Mus musculus: one gene and its partner. The protein of the gene in region 2 interacts with the protein of the main gene of each other region in a biochemical or structural test. Links are inferred from orthologs where the notes say so. Each region holds a gene or a part of one and is shown on either strand. Other genes may lie near its edges. The genes, in order: Ckb and Arih2.

The links.
Region 1: of the proteins of Arih2 (region 2) and Ckb, one has a biochemical effect on the other in vitro, tested with the Homo sapiens proteins (2 studies listed by BioGRID). The link is inferred for Mus musculus from reciprocal best matches to the Homo sapiens genes ARIH2 and CKB.

The regions. Positions count from the first base shown.
Region 1 is NC_000078.6:111,668,447-111,675,635, forward strand, and holds Ckb (creatine kinase B-type), read right to left. Parts: upstream 3,893-7,189; 5' UTR 3,784-3,892; intron 3,528-3,783; 5' UTR 3,513-3,527; coding exon 3,320-3,512; intron 3,134-3,319; coding exon 2,979-3,133; intron 2,902-2,978; coding exon 2,769-2,901; intron 2,599-2,768; coding exon 2,427-2,598; intron 1,840-2,426; coding exon 1,716-1,839; intron 1,569-1,715; coding exon 1,379-1,568; intron 1,296-1,378; coding exon 1,117-1,295; 3' UTR 909-1,116; downstream 1-908. UniProt on the Homo sapiens protein: Reversibly catalyzes the transfer of phosphate between ATP and various phosphogens (e.g. creatine phosphate).
Region 2 is NC_000075.6:108,644,606-108,651,816, forward strand, and holds the start of Arih2 (E3 ubiquitin-protein ligase ARIH2), read right to left. Parts: upstream 4,804-7,211; 5' UTR 4,624-4,803; intron 3,992-4,623; exon of another isoform or gene 3,966-3,991; intron 1,496-3,965; exon of another isoform or gene 1,327-1,495; intron 390-1,326; 5' UTR 328-389; intron 1-327.

The DNA of each region.
Region 1 (7,189 bases), on a different chromosome or scaffold from region 2:
AGCTCATAGCTCAGCCTTGCCTCCTGTCTCCTGGGTCTGAGTATGATGTCTGGGTTGACCAGGTAAGCCTGTGATGAGCCTGACCAGCAGGTGGCAGCACAAGACTGTCCTCTTGGAAGAGTCACTGTGGGGGCGGGGAACTGTAGTCCCAGCCCCTGGCTGCTGTTTTTTCCTTTCTCGGCTTTCAAATGTGGGCCAGATCTTTTCATGAGGCCCAACCAGGATAAGCCGCCATGAAGGCAGCCAAGCCTCATTTGTGCCCAGGAGCCCTGATGTGAGCCTTGGGGTACCTCCCCTTTGACCTGTCCACAGACAGGGACGGGTCACGACAGAGCCCCTCTAACTACTGTTCCCTCTCCTAGATGACGTGGCATAAAAGCTCGAAGTGGAAGCAGAGGGTTGTCTCCTCCCAACCACTAGGGCCCCAGAGAGGAAGCTAGCTGCAAATGAGAGGGACGGGACAGGGGCTAGAGAGCTGGGGGCGGGGGGGGGGGCGGTGAGGAGGAGGCACCTCGACCTGAGGACGATGGAAGCTGGAGGAAGCAGGGAGAGGGTTATTTAGGAACTGGAGTAGGGGTTGGAGCCTGGAGGGGGAGGAAGTGAGGAGGTAAAACTTTGGCTCTTCAGGCTGCCAGGAAGACAGCAGAAAGAAACTGGGGAAGATGTCAAGTTTCTGACTCCTTTAGCTGGCTGGGACTAAGGAAACACTAGGCTCCACCCTGCAAGCACAGATGTCCTTAGATGCTCAGGCTGGACTCAGAGCCTCCCTCCCTCTCTGCCCTGTATCTTCTATGGCTCATGTTTCATCTGCTAGGTGAGATGACACAGAAGGCCAGCGCGCGCACACACACACACACACATACATACACACACACACACACTGTCCCTAGGAAAGGAGAAGCAACACTCAGAAATAGGGCAGGCCAAACCCTAGTTTATTTTCAGTGTCAGCAACAGCTTAGCCATCAAAAAAATAAACTCTACCCAGGGCGACAGAAGTCTCTACAGCGAGGCTAAGGGCTCAGCCGCCAGGCGGCAAACATCAAGGATGCATGGCGGGCACTGCCCGGTTAATAAGTTAGGAAGCGGCAGCCTGATGGTGGCGAGGGCCAGGCTTCACTTCTGGGCCGGCATGAGGTCATCGATTGCCTGACCCTGCTCCAGCCGTTGCTCCATCTCAATGAGTAGTTTCACTCCGTCCACCACCATCTGCACCAGTTCCACCTCCGAGAAGCCCAGGCGGTCAGCGTTGGAGACATCAAACACCCCACCGACAGCAGCGGTGTCCACGCCACCTGCGGTGGGACATGGGCAGGTCAGCGGGGCTGAGGACAACACCTGCACCTTCTGCCCCTCACCTGTGCCTTCTGCCCCTCACCTGTGCCTCGCTTCTGAAGCCGCAGCCGCTTGAGCACCTCCGAGAACTTCTCGTGCTTCCCCAGGTGGGGCAGCTTGATGTGCACACCTGCCCGCAGTCCGGTGCCCAGGTTGGATGGGCATGTGAGGATGTAGCCCAGGTGAGGATTCCACATGAACTCATAGTTCTTGGACTTGAAGAGAGTTTCGATCTGAAGGTGGAGAAGGGAGAGTTAAGAGAAGGAAGCCTGGCCGGAAGCCCTACGGACCCTGGGAGATGTGGGCTCTGATCTGCCCCTGATCCCTCCCCAGCACCAACGCCCCTAGTGAGGAAGCCCTGGGGAATGCCCAGGCCTGACCTGAGTGAGGCCGGTGCAGAATCGGGTGAACACTTCCTTCATGTTGCCCCCCTTCTGCATGGAGATGACTCGCAGGTGGTCCTCCTCGTTAATCCACACCAGGAAAGTCTTATTGTCATTGTGCCTAGAAGAGGGGTAAAGTCAGGCTGGAGTCCCTGCCAGAATGTGGCCTTAGATCACACCCAAGAAAGACACTATAGGTGGGTGACCTCAAACAAAATGCTTCCTCAACAAAGTGCTGGAATGTGAGCTGTCACCAAGACGCCAATCCCAGCAACAGTGGAGGAAGGCAGCTCATATACATCTCAATCACCAGTCATGTGCTGTGTGGCCCGCAAGGGTCTGGAGCCTCCAGAGCATCCCACCAGAGGAAGCACGCCTCCGCCCGCTCAGTCTGCAGGGGTAGGAGCCCTGCCCGGACGGGTGCGGAGGCTTTTGCGTCATTGGCACCTGGCACGATCCCGGCGGAATAAGGGGGTGAGAAGGTGGAGAGAAAACAAGAAGCGCCGGCTCCCAGGAGGAGGGCGGAGAACAGACGCCAAAGAGACTGGTCACCACCCTTGAGTCCCTGGAGACTGCGGCCTCCCGCAGCGCAAGGACCACAGTCATCCGCAGAACCAAGGTCACCTGGGCGGAGGGAGGCACTGCACAAACTAGGAATTCAGGGCAGGCCCCACCTTCTAGGGACTGGGGGGGGGGGGGGGCTCGTACCATATGCCACGAGCATCCGGCCAGTCCCGGGCCATGCCGGAGGCCAGCAGCAGAGGCGACACAGGCTTATCGAAGAGGAAGTGGTCGTCAATGAGCTGCTGCTGCTCCGCCTCAGTCATGCTCTTGAGCGCGTAGTACCTGCCAGACAGGTCGCCATCTAGGCTGGACAGAGCTGCGGAGTGCAGAGTTCAAGGACAGGGTGGGCGGGCGAGCAAGCCCGCCGCCCCGCCTGCAGCAGTGTGTCCCCGCGGGCGAAGGTGGGTCTTCGACCCTCAGTCCCCAGTGGGAACGCGCGCGCAGAGAAGAGCGCAGCAGCTCTGGAGGCTGTTACCCGACCCCTACCTTCTACTGCCAGCTTCTCGATGGCGCGGCGCTCCCCGCGGCTGCAGTGCGGGGGGAGACAGAAGCCGCGGATGCTGCGGCCTGTGCGCACTCGCGAGCTCAGCACGTAGTTGGGGTCCAGGTCATCGCCACCCTGGGAATACAAGGTGGTGGCTAGAGTGAGCGCCGAGACCCCTCTCCCCAGCACGCCCGGACCCTGATTCCCCGCACCTGCAGGTTGTCTGGGTTGAGGTCGGTCTTGTGCTCATCACTGGGCTGGTAGCCGCCGTGCCGCTCCTCAATAATGGGGTCGAAGAGGTCCTTGAATACGTCGTAACTCTCCTCGTCGCCCGCCACTGCACCCACAGTCATGATGTACGGGTGGCCTGGAGGAGGGGCGCGGCGACAGTGACGTCACCGTCAGGCAGGAGCAAGCCGAGGCTCTTAAGGCTAAGCGCGGAGAGGGGAACAGGGGACCCCAGCCCACCGAAGGTTCAGGGAAGAGCAGTGGGATCCTTGCCCGGGGGGCTTCTTGGGGAGGCGGAAGCCTGACGCTACAGGGGTGTGCATACCCGGATTGTCTACGCCAGTCTGAATGGCGTCGTCCAAAGTAAAGCCGCTCGGCGTGCACTTGGCACGGAGCTCGGCGTACAGCTCCGGGGTCAGCACCTTGGCCATATGGTTGTTGTGGCTGCTCAGATCAGGGAACTCATCCTCGGCCGGGAAGCGCAGCTTCTGCGTATTATGGCTGTTGGAGAAGGGCATGGCGGCGGCAGCGGGCTGCAGGGAAGAGCGGGGTCAGAGGAGATTTAAACACCGGCCGCCAGGGACCTGCAAACCACTTGGGACCCCCGAGACTTTCCCTGGACGCCACCAAGGTCAGCGAGGTCTGCATCGTCAGAGTCCAGCGCATCCCAAGTTCCCGGGCGGGTCCGATGAGCGCTCCCGGCAGCGAGGCTGCGCGTGATGCCCCGGTCCCGCACCCCACAGCGTAGAGCCCCGCAGGACTATACCCCTGGCCCTTGGACCCGCTCACCGGGATGCCGGACGAAGCAGGGGCGATGGATGCCTGTGCTTGCAGCTCCTGGCGCAGCGCAGAAGAACGACGGCTGCTCGCTGCTCCCTGAGCTCTTAAGGGGCGCGTCGCCGGCCTCCCATTGGCGGCTATTTATAGCCCATTCATTCCATTGGTCCGCGCTTTGGGGTGGTGCCGCCGCTTTGTCCGAGGCAGCAGCCCTTGACACCCCCAGCGGCCCACCCTAGCGGTCCCCAAGTCTCGACCCCGCTGCGCAGTTTGGCCACCCCGGTGGTGCTCGCACAGGATCCCTAAGACGAAACCCCAGAGCCATAGATATCCTAGACCTGCTTCACACACACTGCCGGGGGCAGGAAACTGAGTCTGGGAAGCCAGATGGCACTTGAGGCTCCTGCCTTCCCTGTCTCCTCAGGCCGACTGCGTTGTAGAGAGGGTCATGGTGAGAGTCCAGGTTTTTAACATTGGGTACAGCATCCAAACACCGCATCCAGGCCATATCCTCAAGAGCCACAGAGCCGCCGACCTTCCTCAAGGTGCCTGCGGGCATCTCCTGGGTGTTCTTGGTGCAACACCAGAGGCGCAGTCTGGCTGAGGTCCCGCCCGGAAGCACCCAGGGTGTTCTGACCTTGGGCGGGCTCTAAGGAACACCGCCAAGACCCTTGGACCCAGACCCTGAAAGATTCAAGACATTTAGTTCCTAGAGACTGTTTTTGAATCTCCAAATTCTCATCTCCTGTCCCTTTTCTCGGGGGACCGGTTTCTACCACCGCACCCACAAAGAACTCCCCAACACCGGCAGGCAAACTGGGGGTGGAGGAAGCACCAGTCAAAATTAAGCTCATTAATCAGATCCAACACATTGAAACAGTCTCTCTCCCCGTGCCACCCCCCCCCACACACACACACAGGGGAAACCTGGAATTTGACCACAGCCAGTGCCAGGTGTGAATTGGAATGTGTGAAGATAGGCGTTCGCACCTTGCCTGCTGCAGCTGCCAGCAGCTTCATCTTTTTCTGGAAAGTAATTTGGCAGTATTTGTTAAAAAATTTTTAAATTGCTCTATGACCTAGCATTCCCACTTCTAGGAATGCAGCCTACAGAAAGACGGTGTCCCTTCTCTACAAACAGATCAGGAAACGTGTAGAGGGAGAAAGTTTGGATTCGATCTGATGCTCATTAGGGAATGGTCGTGGGTAGAAAAGTGTGGTAGATGGTGCAGTTGATACAAATAGAGAGGTGAGGTCCTGCGTGGCGGCACACCCTTTCTTTTTTTCTTTTTCTTTTTTGGTTTGTTTGTTTGTTTAAGACAGGGTTTCTCTGTGTAGCCCTGGCTGTCCTGGAACTCACTCTGTAGACCAGGCTGGCCTCGAACTCAGAAATTCGCCTGCCTCTGCCTCACAAGTGCTGGGATTAAAGGCATGGGCCACCACGTCCAGCTGCAGCACACCCTTTCAATCCAAGCACGAGGAAGGCAGAGACAAGCAGATCTCTGTGAGATCCCTCAGGCAGATCCTTCCTCTAAAAAGAGAGTCCAGAACAGCCCTGTCTCAAAAAAAAATCAGTATCTGTGCTTTCATATTTAATGTTCACTCACAGCCACTCACTCACTCCTGGGCTAATAAAGCAAGAACAAGAGAAGCCTTCATCCTTGCATGTTTGACAGAATATCTTCAGTCATTTGTCTTTGACAGTTTCTCTCTCTAGCCTTGGAACTCACTTTGTAGACCAAGCAGGTCTCAGAGCTCTGCCTGCCTCTGTTTATCCACTTGTGGACTTAAAGGCATGCTCCATCCTGCTCTGAGGGATTGCAGTCCAAAGCCTAGCTTCAGAGAACTAATGGCACACTTACGCCCCAGAGGAAAAGAAGCTGAAGATGGCTTTGAGGGAGACTGCTCCCCCTGAGCCTCCAGCCACACATGAGGTGCTAGATGCAAGGAACGTGCAACAAAAAGTGCACAGGAGGCACAGGGACCCTGCCTTTCTGTGGAGGCAGGCTGCCTGGAGGAGCGAACTGTGTGAGGTATGACAGGAATTCCAGGCTGAGATAGAATGTGCAGGTGCCTGGGGAGAAGACTGGAGTGAAGAACTCGGGGCAGAAAGACTGCCTGCCTGCCTCTGCCTGGGTAGAGTTGAAAAGTCACCTCTGTTCTGTCCCCAGGGCTACTACAGAGACTCCTCCTGTTTTTCACTCACCTTGGCCAGCTTTAACCTATTGTGTTTTGAGACAAGATCCCATAAACCAGGCTCTTTCTGTCTCAGCATCCCAAGTTCTAATATGGGACTGAACCACTATGCCCAGGTCAAGCCACTTGGGGGGGGGGGTTCAAGACAGGGTTTCTCAGTATAGCCCTGGCTATCCTGGAACTCACTTTGTAGACCAGGCTGGCCTCGAACTCAGAAATCCGCCTGCCTCTGCCTCCTGAGTGCTGGGATTAAAAGTGTACGCCACCATGCCCGGCTCAAGTCACTATTTTGTAAGCCAATAAAACAACCTCACATGGGAGCTGGAGAGATAGCTCAGTGGTTAAGAGCTCCGACTGCTCTTCTGAAGGTCTTGAGTTCAAATCCCAGCAACCACATGGTGACTCACAATCATTCGTAATGAGATCTGATGCCCTCTTCTGGTATGTCTGAAGACAGTTACAGTGTACTTACATATAAAATAAATAAATTAAAAAAAAAAAAAACCTCACATAAGGAGGTATTCCAGCAGTCAGGAAGAAGAGGCAGATGTATATCTGTGTATTAAGTTCAGCCTAGTCTACATAGTGCATTCTGGGGCAGTCAGGGTTACAAAGAGAGACCCTGTCTCAAAAAAAAAAAAAAAAAAGGGAAAAGGGAGGGGCAGGAAGATTAAGAATCAAGGCCAGCCTGGGCTCCAGGAGTCCTAGTCTTTGGCTAGACAGCAGGTGTGCCCTCAGCCTGTATTCTGTGCTCCCGGCAGCCTCTCCCCATCTCAGATATATCTGCAGCTGCCTACCCAGTCCCTACCCCTTTCAGGGAAGCTGGTTCTGCTTAGCCTCAAGTGCTCAAGTTTCTATTTTAGAAATAGGAAGCGAACTTGTTATCTAGGCTGGAGGTGGGGGTAGGGGGCTCAGGGCTTCCTCTTTGTCTCCAGGATTTGCAGCTTAGCCTTTTCTCCTTCCTTACCCCTTTTTATCTCCCTGCCAGAGCAAGACCAGGACTCTGGTAGAGGTGAGGAACAGAAGTCAAGGGTGCCTATTATCCCAGCACTAAACCACACCCAGTGCAGGCACAGGTTCCTGTGACCTTTGACTACTGTCCCATTCTGCAGATACACAGAGGAAAAGACACAAAGAAGTACTGGCTCAGAAGGTCCTGATATCCCCCGATGGTCCTAGGGTGACTACCCTTGGGACATCATGCAGATTCATAGAGTATATG
Region 2 (7,211 bases):
AAGAGCACTGACTGCTCTTCCAGAGGTCCTGAGTTCAATTCCCAGCAACCACATGGTGGCTCACAATCATCTGTAATGGGATCCAATGCCCTCTTCTGGTGTGTCTGAAGACAGCTACAGTGTACTTATATATAAAATAAATAAATCTTTTTTAAAAAATTAAAGCTACACACCACCCAGCCCAGCTTCCTATCTCAATTCTAGTTTCTTTTAGAACCCTTCCCCCTCCCTTGACTATGTTTATCAAGGGAAATCCTTCCACCAAGAGACAGGTAAAGGTACATTGCCTCCAAGCCTAATACAAAGTTAAGGAAATGTTTAAATCACCTGTAATGTTTAAAGATCTTTCCTGCAGATATCACCCAAACTGTCTGTCATAGGATTTCCATCTGAAACGAAAAGAGACAATTTATATTTTTAGAACTGATACCCTTTCTCAAGTTTATTGTTTTTGTTTAAGAAAGGGTCTCACCACATAATGACTTGTCTTGCAACTCTACCAACCAAGCTGACCTTGAACTCAGAGAACCACCTGCCTCGGCTTCTCAAGTGTGAGGTTAACAAACATGTGCTGCCATGCCCAGCTATTTTGTTTCTTTCATTTATACGTTTTAGGTGGATGTGGGTAGAGGCAACCTTGAGTGGAAGTCAAAGAACAGTTGGTGTGAGGTTGTTCTCTCCAACTATTTGAGCTCCAGGTATTTAAAGAAGGTCTTCAGGCTGGAGAGATGGCTCAGCAGTTAAGAGTACTGACTGCTTTTCCAGAAGTCCTGAGTTCAATTCTCAACAACTACATGGTAGCTCACACCCATCTGTAATGGGTTCTGATGCCCTCTTCTGGTATGTCTGAAGACAGCTACAATATACTCAATATAGATAAAGTAAACAAATCTAAAATAAACAAATAAGTAAATAATAAAGGTCTTCAAGGTTGGCAGCAAGTGCTTTTTTTCTGCTGTGCTGTCCCATAAGCCCACTTTTGTGTGTGTGTGTGATAGGATCTAGATACGTATCCTAGATCTATAGGTATGTGTCACTATACCCAGTTTGCAAACTAGCATTACTTACCTAGCAGTGGGAGGACTGAATCCAGCTAACTAGGTAAGCACTTTACTTCCTCAAGCCCTCTACCCCCCAACCCAGATCCATACTCTCTAAGTAGCTATGGACGACCTGGAACTGTGTCCAAGCTGGCCTTGAACTCACAGAAATCAGACTGTCTCTGCCTCTTGAGTGCAGGGATTAAAAATATGCACCACATGCAGAACCCTGTGTTACTTTTTGGGACAAAGTCTTATTAAGTTGACTAGCTAGCCTGAAACTCACCTTATTTGAGGTAGGGTTTGTATTACCAATGTATAAACCAGGCTAGTTGGCCCAAAGACCTGCCAGAGTCTCCTGTCTCCACCTCCCACAGTTGCATAGGAAAACTGGAAGTACACACTTCAGTGCCTAGGTTTATATGATGGCACACGCTTGTAATCCTAAAAGCTGTGAGGTGGAAGGAGGATCAAGGTCATCAAGATGTCTCAGCTTTACAATAAAAATGCACCCAATTAGGCAATAGTAATATCTATCTCCATCTTTACTCTGTGACCATCAACATAAGCTACTCCTGAAACTCGGTTCACGAACGGAACTGAGTGGAAATTCTGAGTGCTTGCAAGAAAACTCTTAGAAAATAGATTCTTTGTTTGTTTGTTTTTCGATTTTCGAGACAGGGTTTCTCTGTGTAGCCCTGGCTGTCCTAGAGCTCACTCTGTAGACCAGGCTGGCCTCGAACTCAGAAATCTGCCTGCCTCTGCCTCCCAAGTGCTGGGATTAAAGGCATAGATTCGTACGACCTCAGTTTCTTCACAGAACTGTTCTTGGAATGTATTCTCCTGTTCTCGCAAGTGTAGCTTAACAGTTTCCTCATACTGTTTGTTGTTACTCAATTAAATGTGTAAACTATCCACATTTGGCTGGTCCTTGTGATCTTACTCATATGGTTTCTCTTAACCCTCAGAGTATAAATTATTCAGAGTATAAATGCTCTGAATAAAGTTGGTTATTTAATGAAACTTTTGTCTCTCTCATTTATCAGGTCCCACTGACTCTAGAGTGGTAAACATGCTACCATACCCAGTCACCTCATATTACAAAGGCCACCTGGTTTTTCTAGACACATGGATCCTACTATCCAAGACTTGTAAAATATTAATTTTTTCATGTCTATTGCGTTTCTTTAGGATTTCTTGGGCAACCAGAGCTTATAACTACCAAAGAATACTTTGATTATAGATAGGAAAATACAAAATTAAAGATCAAAGTCTGAACAAATAGCATGGAAAATTATTTCCCAAATAATGGAATAGCCAGACATTGTAGTGCACCAGGGAGGCAAAAGCAGGTGGGTCTGAGTTTGAAGCCACCCTGATCTACAGAGCTAGTTCCAGGACAGCCAGGGCTACGGAGGGGGAAAGGAAAAAAAAAGGGGGGGGGTAAGAGGGGGGGAATGGGCTTACAATGGCCAGGTGAGGTGGTGCAAATCTACACCTTTAATTCCAGACTGGTAAATTCAATGAGTTGCATGGTGAGATGCTGTCTCAAACAGAGGCTTACAAATGAAGCTGGGATTGATAATGCTGAAGTATCTTGCCTAGGATCATACAAAGTCAACTAGCAGAGGCAGCATCAGAATTCCATTCTAAGCAGATTCTAGCCATCACTCTCAGGAGGCCTGATTTAAAGCTACAGAAATCTCACTAACTAAAGAGCATACCCTTTCAAATTCTGATTTCTCCTTAGGATCTGTCGAGAACATGGCTCACAGCTTTTTCACCAACCAAATAACCAAGTAGATGGGAATCCAGGTTCTTTAAAAGAATTGACTGTTTCATATACTTCCTGGTGTTCTAGATTCAGATCTAAATAAAGCTTTTTTAAAATAAAAATTTTATAAACACACATATTTTTGATACAAGGTCTCACTATGATGATGTCTGTCCTCAAACTCACAAGAGCACAGCTTCCTAAATGGCCAGACTAAAGGTGAGTGACACCATTAGGCTCTGTTAAGAGATTCCTGAAGGAAGGCTGGCCTTGCTGAGCTTAGTGGCACATTCTGGGATCCCCAACTTAGGAGTGTCAGCAGGAGGATCAAAAGTGGGAGACACTGGCTGGGCGTGGTGGCGCACGCCTTTAATCCCAGCACTTGGGAGGCAGAGGCAGGTGAATTTCTGAGTTTGAGGCCAGCCTGGTCTACAGAGTGAGTTCCAGGACAGCCAGGGCTATACAGAGAAACCCTGTCTCAAAAAAAAAAAAAAAAAAAGTGGGAGACACTGTCTCAAAATAAAGCACGCAAGAAAACTGAATCCTGACTTTGTTCAAAGGGCCAATGTGTTATTTTCTTAATGTCAAAGTATTCAAGATGTTAAATATGACTATCTCAGAGAGAAATGGTACAAAATTAGTACTTTTTCCAAGAGTTAAAGTCATCTTCAAAAAAACCTGCCACTCATTTTGAGCTGGTTTCCAAGACATGGCCACATACAAAAGGATAAAGACCTTTTAGTTTGAAGTTGACAGGAACACAAAAAAATTGGCTAGTCGCACAGATGTTTAACTCCAGTTGTAACACTTGGCCCTCAGTAGTCATTTATTAACTACATTTCGAAGAAAACTTCTTGGCTGAAAAATATGAATCAGCAACTTGTTTAAAAACTCAGCAGCATCCCGGGCGTGGTAGTGCAAGCCTTCAATGCCAGCACTTGAGAGGCAGAAGCAGGTGAGTTCGAGTTCGGCCCAGTCTACACAGTGAGTTCCTTGACAGCCATGACTATGTAGACACTGTCTAAAAACAACCAACTCGACACCGCATCTGTCCTAATAATGGCAGGTAGCCGCCGATTACATGGAGTTATTGAAAGTTAGTTTACTTTTAAAAAGTCAAATGTAGTTTCTCAGATATACTAACTACATACATGTCAACACGAAAGCCGTGTGTGGCTTAATGGCTACCATACTGAACAGCAAAGGTCTAGAACGTGTTCGTCGCCGACAGAAAGTTCTACGAGACAGAGTAACAAACAGAAGAACTAAGGCGAGCTCGTCCGAGAACACCACCGCCTCTCTTGAGGCTAGACCAGTGGCGTCGGGCGTGACCGGTCGCACGTCTCTGCGAGGCGCCCCGGTCTTCGCGCGGACACGGAACCCACGCGCGGGGAGGCCCTTTCCCAGGACGGGCGTTAACAAACAGTGCGGCTGGCGCTGCCAAAGCTCCCAACCACCAGAGAAACGGGGAGCCTCCGAGGCGGTGCGTTCGCCTGGAGCGCCCAGAAGGGCAGGCCCGAGCGCACCCGAGCCTCGCGGGCCAGAGGCCCTGGCCTCCGACCTCTCGGGGAGCTAAAGAGCCAACGAGGAAGAGGAACCCAGGAGAGACGCCAGGCACCCGCCGGCGCGGGCTGTCGCCTCCGGGAGTGCCTATCAGTCGGCGGGGAACGTCGGGACCTGGGACGGCCCGGCCTCGCAAGCGGCGGCGAAGGCGGAGCCCGGACCGCGCCGGCGAAACGCGCGGGGATCCCCCCCCTCCCGGCGGCCAGTCAAGAGTAAACAAGGCCTCGACTCCCGCCGCGCACTTACCGGGAGCCGCGACCTCGCGGCCGCAGAGCCCAGGCCGGCCGGACCAGGTCAAGCCAGACCAAACCAGGCTGACGGAGGCGTAGCGGCAGCGGAGGCAGCCGGCGGACGCGGCTCAGGCCCGCGCAGCTTCCTCCGGCAGAGCCGTCCCCCGCAGCTCCGGAAGTGTTCTGCGCCGCGCGTCACTTCCGGTAGGGGTCGACCTGCGGTCGCCCTGGAGGCTCCCAGGCTTCTGACGACTGCGTAGTCGGTTGGAATCGCTTCCTCACCATCCTCTAGCGAGAGCCCCTGGGAGGAACTACTGAGCGTTCGCTTTTGAAGGAATGATGTAGGAATTTGTTTCCTGCGTTATAGCCTACCAGTGTCTTTATTCGATAGTTAGTTTTAGGTTTTCTTGCGTGTATTTTGTGTGTGTCGCACGGCTCGCGTGCAGAAGAGGTCAGAGGACAATTTTCCGGGAGCAGTTTTTCTCCTTCCACCATGTGGGTTTCGAGGATCAAACACTTGTCAGGCGTGGCAGTAAGCGCTTTTTACCCACTGAGCCATCAGACCCTTAGATGAGGTATTTTTAGCTTTTTTTTTTTTTTTTTCCCCTGACCAGACGTCTACCCACTTCACTGTTTATACTCTGACGAACAGCGTGAGAAGACATTCTGGCAACACTGGAGTAGGTTAAAAAGATCATAGTTTCCGGGCAACTATGGTTTGACATGAGCCATACTCGGAATTTCTACGTACGTTAGGAGGAAGTTCTGGCCCATGAGCAATCAGACTTTAGTTTCTCATGACACTATCCCCCTAGCCACCCACTTCTCCGACTTCCACTCACCTTCACGACGGGTATTTTTTGTTTGGTGTGGTTATATTTAGAAGCAACTCACTATATAGCCAAGGCTGGTTTGCCTTGCTAGATTACCAGACCCAGAGATTCATACATCGTAAGTGTTTCGCTGCACAACTTCTACCCACGATATAGACTGCATTAGGACTCCAGTCACCAAGTTCTGGTCACCAAGCCTTGTTGTGGACTGATAGGAGGCTCGCTCAAGTAGCAACTCCATCGAGATGTTAATTACTGGAGTGAAGCCAGAGGCACTGTGAGGTAAATCAATGTTCGTGCAAATCTGTAGATAACCTAGTTCTACCTTTTCTGGAGTGTATGTATTGGTATTCAAGACACCCGGAAAAGTGAGGCAGAAAGAAAAAAGACCGTGTAATAGCCTCTTTTATGTAATTCTTGGAAAAAATATAACTGAAGAGACTTGGGAGTTGGCTGGGCCATTAAGAGCTCTTGCTGTTCTCTCCAGAAACCTGAGGTCCTTGCCCACTATTGATAATGTCCAGGGGATCCGAAGCCCTCTTTGAACCTCTTCCGGCACACACATACTTGTAAACAGAAAATTAAAAAAAAAATTTTTTTTTCTTTTTTGAGAAAAGTTCTCACTATATATCCCTGGATAACCTGAAGCTCTGTACAGACCTAAAACTTACAAACTCACATGTGTGCAGCCACACAATCTACTTAAAATATCTACAAATTTGGGTCATGAATCAAAATCAGGGGTAATCAAATGTTGAAAGTCGCTAGAACAAGAATAGCACTTGGGGTGCAAAGGCTAGGGGAATCATTGAAAGTTCCAGGCCTCGGGAGGCAGAGGCAGGTGGATTTCTGAGTTCAAGGCCAGCCTGGTCTACAGAATGAGTTCCAGGACAGCCAGGACTGCACAGAGAAAAAAAAAAAAAAAAAAAAAGAAAGTAAGTTCCAGGCCAACCTGGTCTACATACTAAGTGCCAGGCTGCCCAACAAGGCAGCCAGAGGTACATGATCAGTAATTATCTTTAACAACAACAAAAAAAGTAGCTGGGCAGTGGTGACACACGCCTTTAATCCCAGCACTTGGGAGACAGAGGCAGGCAGATTTCTGAGTTTGAGGCCAGCCTGGTCTACAGAGTGAGTTCTAGGACATCCAGGGCTATACAGAGAAACCCTGTCTCAAAAAACAAAAAACAAAAAAACAAAACAAAAAAACTGTGCCACTTGCTTTTACAGAGAAGATTCACGTCAATTGATAAAATGTCTTCATTAAATTGGCCTGTAACGAAGACATTTTCTTGATTAATGATTGATGTAGGAGGATCCAGCCCACTATCAACAGTGCCATCTCTGGATGGGTGGTCCTGGCAGTAAAAGATTGGAAACTAAAGCTAGGCAGTGGTGGCACATGCCTTTAATCCTAGCACTTAGGAGGTAGATAGAGCTCTGAGTTCCAGCAAGACCATCCTGGTCTGTGAATCAAGTTCCAGGACAGCCAGGGCTACACAGAGAGACTATATCTTGAGAGAAAGAGAGAGAGAGAGAGAGAGAGAGAGAGAGAGCGCTCAAGCAAGTGAGAGCGAGCAGGCTGAGCAATCCATGGGATCAAACTAGTGAGCCATGCTCTTCCCTTATCCCTGCTTAGGTTTCTGCCTCAAGTTCTTGCCCTAATTTCCTTCTATGAGGGACTATAAGCTAAAAGATGAGATAAATTTTTTCCTCTTCAAATTGCTTTTTGTCATAGCCTTTATCACAGCAATAGAACACAAATCTGGAC